2 linked regions of the Coturnix japonica genome follow. The protein of the gene in region 1 interacts with the protein of each later gene in a pairwise test. Links are inferred from orthologs where the notes say so. Each region holds a gene or a part of one and is shown on either strand. Other genes may lie near its edges.

What was found.
Region 2: the proteins of EGFR (region 1) and RAP1GDS1 interact in a protein complementation assay, tested with the Homo sapiens proteins (2 studies listed by BioGRID and IntAct). The link is inferred for Coturnix japonica from reciprocal best matches to the Homo sapiens genes EGFR and RAP1GDS1.

Annotation. Positions count from the first base shown.
Region 1 is NC_029517.1:73,939,097-73,942,982, reverse strand, and holds part of EGFR (epidermal growth factor receptor), read right to left. Parts: intron 3,484-3,886; coding exon 3,367-3,483; intron 2,827-3,366; coding exon 2,700-2,826; intron 2,601-2,699; coding exon 2,527-2,600; intron 1,394-2,526; coding exon 1,303-1,393; intron 830-1,302; coding exon 630-829; intron 69-629; coding exon 1-68. UniProt on the Homo sapiens protein: Receptor tyrosine kinase binding ligands of the EGF family and activating several signaling cascades to convert extracellular cues into appropriate cellular responses.
Region 2 is NC_029519.1:53,764,328-53,768,213, reverse strand, and holds part of RAP1GDS1 (rap1 GTPase-GDP dissociation stimulator 1), read right to left. Parts: intron 2,958-3,886; coding exon 2,829-2,957; intron 535-2,828; coding exon 407-534; 3' UTR 1-406. UniProt on the Homo sapiens protein: Acts as a GEF (guanine nucleotide exchange factor) for the Rho family of small GTP-binding proteins (G proteins) that stimulates the dissociation of GDP to enable subsequent binding of GTP.

The DNA of each region.
Region 1 (3,886 bases):
GTGGAAGGGCCCTGGGCCCCAGCAGCCCACATCTGAGCACAGCGGGTCACACACATGCCTGTCAGCAGCTGAGAAAAGAGAAGCCATAAACTTCAGGGCAAGAGAATAGCAAATAACTCCATCCTGACAGTCATTTTTTTTCCAAAGTATTCCAAAGCAGACACAAATGACCCTAGTAGAAGAGGAATAATCACAGTTTTCCTAATTCCTGAAGTTTGACTTCTTGTCTTTGTTTTTGGAGCAAATTCTGGCCTTTCAAAATTCAAATGAGATCCATTGTGATCATGTACCAGACTTACAGTAAAGCAAAACCAATACCAGAGGAGATACATTCCCAGTATGTAGCAAATTCATATTCTGGAAAGAGAAATAATTAGACTTTGGTCCAGGGACCATTGCTGAGTGATTAACTTTGTAAAACAAGCCTGATGTCTAGAGCTGGCTTCTGTGTCTGTCACTATATCTATAACAGGGTGTACAATCACCATGAAGCCCACATCTCCTGGAGGACCAACTCCACTTTTCCCTCACTGTCTTCAATAAAGCACTATTGTTGATCAATTTTGCATCAAATTACTCTTCCATTTCATTATGAGCTTTTGCAAGGGCAGGAAAACAGATTGACTTACTACAGTCGTTTTTATTTCTGTTCTGTATAATTTTTGTTTTCTGACTCTGAGTAGCAAACAAGCTGCGCCAGTTCATGGTGTCAGCATAGCAGAGGTTCCTGTTCTTCATAATGGCAATGTCTCCATCACTTATTTCTTTGAGGGAGCGCAGCCCCAAGGACTGTATTTTCAAGTTAACAACAGCAAGGGAATACTGGCCACTGAAATGAATACAGACAAAAAGAAGACACGGAAAAAAAAAAAAAAAAAGAATTAGTAAACAGGGTTGTACTTGGAGCATTTATCTTTTGGTACATATTGCTGTGCAACCATTTTTTTCTAATGGGAATTTTAAACTAAATCCAGCAGAACATATGTGCTCCACCAAATGAATAATGTGTAAGGATAGCAGTAAGCAGAGAAACTATTTTGTGCTGGTCCACAAAGTCATTCTTCCACTTGAGGCAAGCTTAAGCGGGTGCTGGATAGAGGTTCTAACAACAGTACAGAGCTTTGGGTTTAATCTTACTCTAATGCTACCAAAATGGTGCTCAGCACCTTTCAGGCTATTTCCTGTTTTGCATGAATTTTGTGACACCCATGTATCCCAGTGCTAGGCACCCTGGTGTGCTCAGATAAATGCAGTTCCCAACAGATCTCCTTCTACAAGGATCCTGGCATGTCATTTACTTACTGCTGCTTGGTTCGGCCTCGGATAATCTCCAGATTTTCAAAAGCATAGAGATCAGTAGCATTATCAGGCCAGGCCTGAATCAACAAAAATCCTGAAATGAAGAAAAGAAGATCAAATAAAAATAATAATAATGCAAACAGTCAGTATTGGAGGTGAAATGTCCTTCTTGAGATTCTCTTGTGCCAGGAGAAGGCACTTGTGCTTTCCACATGCTTTTCTGAGAATCTCAAAATTAAACATGACATTTTAGGGATATTTGTAAACACTGTTTTGTAAACAGTTTACTTTTTAGTCCACCATAAGGATCAGGAGCACCAGAGAACAGTGTGTCAGGGGCAGTGCATCTGCCATGCTGAGCTGCCTTGATACAAGAATACCCTGTTTGAGGGGCTGTGGGCTCCCCTGCACAATGAGGAGGCACTGTCCTGTCCCCTTTGTGAGCTGCCCTTTGATAAGAGAAGTAGGCATAAAGCAGGAATGGCACAGAACTGTCAGCAACTCAGAGTGCATTTGCTATGACATGCAAATTTTTCTGTTCAGGTGAAATACTCTGTAGAAGTGAAAGAATTTTGGAAATTGCACACTGCTGTATGAAACTCTGAGGTTAGTCACTGCTACCCTGAAGGCAAAAAGACAGACAAAGGAGATAAAGTGGACCTGGAGTCATGGACTCTGACATTACATTGGTTTTATAACTGGATGAACAAAATTACTTTCAAGTTGCAAGATTTCAGTAGAGCACTCTCGTACTTTGTTGCTCTCAGCCACTTTGTGCTAATCTCGAGGCAGGGCTCTTTGGGTTGGGGAGGGTGTCTCCACATGTCTCCATGAGGATGATGCAAGAGAGTGAGCATTGTTCCTTAAGGAACTGCAGAACGGATTACCACAGAGAGAAACACTGGCTATTTTTATACAGAGTGGCATGCCTCTGAATCACCGCACTTATTGGGTAGCTGAGAATTACTTCTACTTTTAGTCTTCAGTAGGGCTGACAATTCATCAGGAAGGATGATCTGGAAAAACCACACACTTTGAATGGGAGGCAGGGTGAGTGTAACACTGGCAAGGTGCTGCTGACCTGCCAGTGTGAGCATTGACACAGAAGCTCAAGGACAGAAACCATCTGCTTGCACTTCCACTCACTGACTTTGGGAACTTACTTCTTCTTGCTTTATGTTTTTGGCAGTTTTTTGGCAGTACTGCTCAGATAACATCGTCACTGACCTGATATTTCTTTGACTGTTCTGAAGACATCCAGCTTCTTAGGGTCAAGGGGTAGTGTCTTTGTGAAAGCATCCCTGAAACAAACAGAAAGAGGTATTGAGAGAAGAAGGAATCAGCCTGAATTTCTCCCTAGACCCTCTCTTCTAGTTCTCAATGACCAGCAGGAAACTCACCCTAGAAATGCAACAGGAAGAATGCTGACATCCCCATTGATCTTCGTACAGTTTTTGAAGGAGTCAATGTTTGTGGCATTTATAGATAGAATCCCTTTAAGTTCACCTATTCCAATGCCATTGCACACTGTTAAAATAGGGACACAAAAGTTTGGTAGAGAAGAGAGAAGCATCATCACACATAAGGAAATACGTACAAAAATCCTGATGTTCAAAAAGGCATTTCCACTTGGACAATTCTACCATTGTAAGTTCAGTTTCATAAATCTGCTTTTCAGATATCACCAAAAGAAAAACACTTCTCTCTTGCATAGCTGTGCAGTCCTGGTCCTAGCATCTCTGCATACACACTCTGACACATGCCCTTCTCTTGGTCCCATTTTCATTTTATTCCCATTGATGAGACACCGAGAAGGATAAATAAAAGAGGCTGATGTGTAGGATACACATTAAGTGCAGTTTATCTGTGTAAGTGTACTTGCAGCATATCCCTGCGGAAGCATGCTCTTCTACCATACTTCCTGAGAAAACAGCCTGTCAAAACTTCAAACTAGCAGTGGATGTGGGTATTGAATTTGCAATTTGAGGGCTAAATTCAGTTCATAACTCCATTGATGACATCATCAATCAACTAAAGCCTTACTGTTTCACACCATGATTTTTATACCTTTGCTGCATAGCCCATCACATTTTTTACACTTCCGAACACCGTTTTCTTCCACTTCATAAGTATCAGTATTGCATGAGCGAACACAGGAGCCGTGATCTGTCACCACATAGTTGTCTGGAAAAACAAGGATGACAGAGAACTGAAAAACAAGAGAGATGCACTGGGGGTGATAAAGGTACTTCAATACTAGGAAAAATAAGGTTTTTTGAACTTTGGCCATGCATGAAACATAGACATTAATTATTAATTTTCACATCCTTTGAATGTAGACAGACATACAGTGCTATTATAATTTTGTAATGGAGGAGGACGATCACAGAAGGGTAAAACAACACTGCGAGAGTCAGATTGCAGCAGTGTTGTTATCTGAATCAATACACAGCCCTTTTGAACCCTCACTTTCACACACCCTTCCAGGCTAAAGGCAACGATGAACCTCAGAAAGGGATAGCAGGTCTATATCTGAACCCTCTCTTACACTTGAGTCTTGTTTGTCTAAAAGACCATGGTCATGGAA
Region 2 (3,886 bases), on another chromosome or scaffold:
AGATTTACTTCTTAATCCTACAGTCAGTGCACTAGCCTGGACTTGCTGCATCTTGTACTGTCCCTAATTTAGTAGTACATTGTTATGCAGTTAGGGGGGTGTGAGGAAAGAGTCATTGTGTAGTACCACTTTTACATCATCATAGGACTACAACATGCACATTCCACTATGTGGCCCAAGCAACAAGAATACAAGTAGAACAGTTACGGGCGGAGACAGGTTCATGTTAACACCACCTATGAATTTTTAGAAACCTTTTTGGATGGGTACCTACAGCAGTTCATCAATTTGTGTGGGGACATTACACGCATGCACAAGTGATACAGTGGAAAACATAGCAGGAGCGACAGCAGGACAAAGGATGAAGGTGGAATCTGTGATGGATGCAATGAAAACAAGACCTTCCTCAGCTTTCTACAGCAAGTCTCTGCTCTGTTAGCGAGGCCTGCTGGGCAACAGTTTTGTTCTCATGGCTGCGGAGTTTTGATACGACTTCTAGGAACGCCATGTTCTGCACTTCCTTTTGGAGAGATTCTGGAAAAGAAATGGTAGGAGAAACAGTTCTTTGTATGAGATGTGCAAGAGAACAGCAAAGCATGGTGTGAAGCACTTAGGAAAGTGTCAGCACTACCCCGTGCCCATTGTATTTGTATAAGCCCACAAATGTAATCTTTTTATTTACTGTTTTGAATTGCTTTTAAGAATAGAGGAAATCTCTGAGGCTTTGAGCTTGCACAGACCCCCATATTTCAGGTAGAGATGAAGGATGAAGTTTCTGCATAGCAAACTATGCATAACAGTTACAAAAATCTACCTGGAATGCCTTCCAAAAAAGATGCTTAAGAATTTTTTTAATTGAATGTTTTTGTTTGATTCCTTAAACTATTTTGATGGAGTGAGCAAGTTCGCCTGAAGGGTTCACTGCATAGCTCGTCTGTATCAAATCAGCTCTGGCTGGTTGTGAGAGCGTGAAGAGGATATGTCACCACCTCATCACTGGTAGGTGGCCATTTTACAGTTCAGCTCTGTACTTGTCACAAGTACAGCACACCAGGTAATGTTATGTGTATATATACAGCATTTATGTTTGACTTGAAACTTTGAGGCCATTTCATGGTTCCTATCCTGGATAGCATTCTACTTGATGTCAGAAAGGAAAGGAAGGGAGCTTATTCAAAGCCCTATGCTCTAGACTTCCCACAGTTAAGAGCCAAAGCAGCTGGTTTTGTTTCATGTCCTGTTTAGTCCATTCTAGTGAACTCACTCAGCAACAAACACCTACATGTATTTTTTGCTTCCCAGGTGCTGCTGGGGGCTTAATCCCTGAGCTTCCCAGGAGGAATTCCAACCAGCTGTTTCAGATTAGCTATGCTATATATGCTATGCGTATTTACGGCTTTTCCTTACAACACTCTTGGGCATTTCTTTCTCTTCTTACTTTCTTGTTCACACGTTTTCACTGGGTTTTCTTTTTTTCTTGTAGTTATCCCTGTCTTTGTGTGTTGGGAGCTCTCATGCTGCTGTGCACCTGGGAACCAGTATATACTGAGCAGTGTCAGTGAAGCTGTTGGGTGCTTAGGCTGTGCAGGCACTTTCCATTCCCCTTTCTAAGATATCATCAAGCATAAGCAGTGTTACTGAACTGCCTTTGAGGAGCTTGCTGTGACTTGCTGCGTAAACAAAACTTAATACCAGAGTTGCTCAGTTGTTGCTCTTATATACTGGCTATTTTTACACGGGTCTATTCATGAGGAAGCAGGGCTGAACATTGGAGCAGCTCTGACTTCTTCACAGCTGTGCATTGCAATAATGTGCTGTCTGCTCCCTGGGAGAATGCCAAGATGCCTCATGTCTAGGCAAAGTTTACAGTGTGGTGGCAGAACAATCTCTGCCACTTGGATAACCCTGAAAAAACAAGGGAAGACTGCACCCTTATTCTGGTGGAATAGCGAGACAGTTGTTTGACTTTAAATAACACTGTCAGTCAATCTTGCAGGTGACGTGACTTGGAGAAATGAAAATGCAAGGGTCAGGCAAAACTTCTGAGGGTGACAGTTTTTGTTGTAAGTGCGCATAAGAACATCACAGTGAGTGAAAGAAATGTAGCCACTTCTTGAATCCTTAACTGAAGATCAAATGTGCTCCGTTCCCTGCATCAGCACTTCCAGCAGAGGCACATGTTGGAACACCTCCTGTTTATCACCACAAAGTCAGTTGTGCCTGGAGCATGCTTGGGCTGCCAAGGGAAGAACCCTTCCTAGCAAGGAGAGTGAGGATCCCTCCTAGGGCAGGACTACATCAACATGTTGTACTAAGTTCTCATTTGTATGTGTCTCTGCAAGTATTTCTTATCTTTTTAAACTTCCTGCAATTCTTGGAGGAATTTAAAGTCAAGAGGTACCTTGCAAACTTCTCTTCCACTTAATTTTACTTGTGTAAGTTGAAAAACAGCAAACCAGCCGTCATACATCAGTTACAGGGAACTTACAGCTAAAGGCGAAAATTAACTTGTTATCCATGTGCTTGCACAGAGAGCCCAATACTGTACAGTTTAAAATGTCTTTCATTTTTTTTTCCTGTTAAATTTCCAGGAGCTTCCTGCAGAAGCCAGAATCTGATTTCTGTAGTTAATATCCAAAACAGAATGAACAGCCTCTTTTTCTAGACCCTATAAAGTGTCACAGTAAACTGAGCCATTCTGCGAACACTCATAGTAAACGGAGAACTGGTCTCAGTGTATTTGCACATTTGCACGTGCCCTACGTTTAATCTACAGAAAGATTAATTATATAATTGTTTTGGGAAAGCAGTCCCTCTCAAGTACTCACCAGATCCTATAAGGGCACAGACCAGCACCATGGAGTTATATTTTATTTCTGGAGCACTCCTGTCATCTGATAGCAGTCTGTGTAGAATCTGAACAAGCTGAGCATTTTCAAGATCCTTTTCAGCAGTGACTGAAATACAAGTGAAAACTTGTGAAACTGGAATTGGTGCTTCATTGGATACTTTTGTGTTTCAGCCTTTTATGGAAACATGGATCTCTAACTGGTAATGAAACTGGTGCTGCAGTAGAACAGGTTGGATGGTTTGGTGATAGGAATCACAGCTCTCGCTATAAAAGTGCAAAATAGCCAAACTGCTTGAGAAGACAATCACTATGTTCAGTGATAAAATCTAATCTTAAATGTACAGTGAGCTGATGGAAAATGTGCCTGGCTTTCTACCTACTTAGGCTAGCACTTGCAACATTTAAGCATAGAAGACTTTGCCTGAATTTCCTTTTAGAAAATTTGCCTGAATTTAATATTGACAGGGGAAATCTTGACTCCACAGTAGGAAAACTCGAGGTCTATTGTTAACACTGTGAAAGGCTTTGCAAGATCAGAGTATGATTTTTTTTCCCCCTGAAGTTTTCTAGAAAATATACTGAATTCAGGCTTGAAACCTTTAGATGTCTGAAGGGTCAGAAAATTCACATAAATATCATTTCCTTTCAGTAAAAAAGAAATAATTGGCAGTGATTTGGAAGTTGAATGCAGCATTCTGCGGGTACACAATGACAAGAGATGAGATCAAAAACAAAAGTATGTGGTACTTGTTTAGTTCATTATACTAATTAATAAGCAAACAAACAGTACAAATTAAGCCCCCACTTAGAGGAGATTTAAGTTACTTGTTAGGAGGTAACTCTTTACTCAGAGGGCAGTGAGGCACTGGAACAGGCTGCCCAGAGAAGTTATGGATTCCACATCCCTGGAGATGTTCAAGGCAAAGTTGGATGGGATCTTGGGCAGTCTGATCTAGTGAGAGGCAGCCCTGACCATGGTGGGAGGAAGTGGAACTGGTTATTTTTGTTACCTTCCAACCTAAGCCATTCTATGAA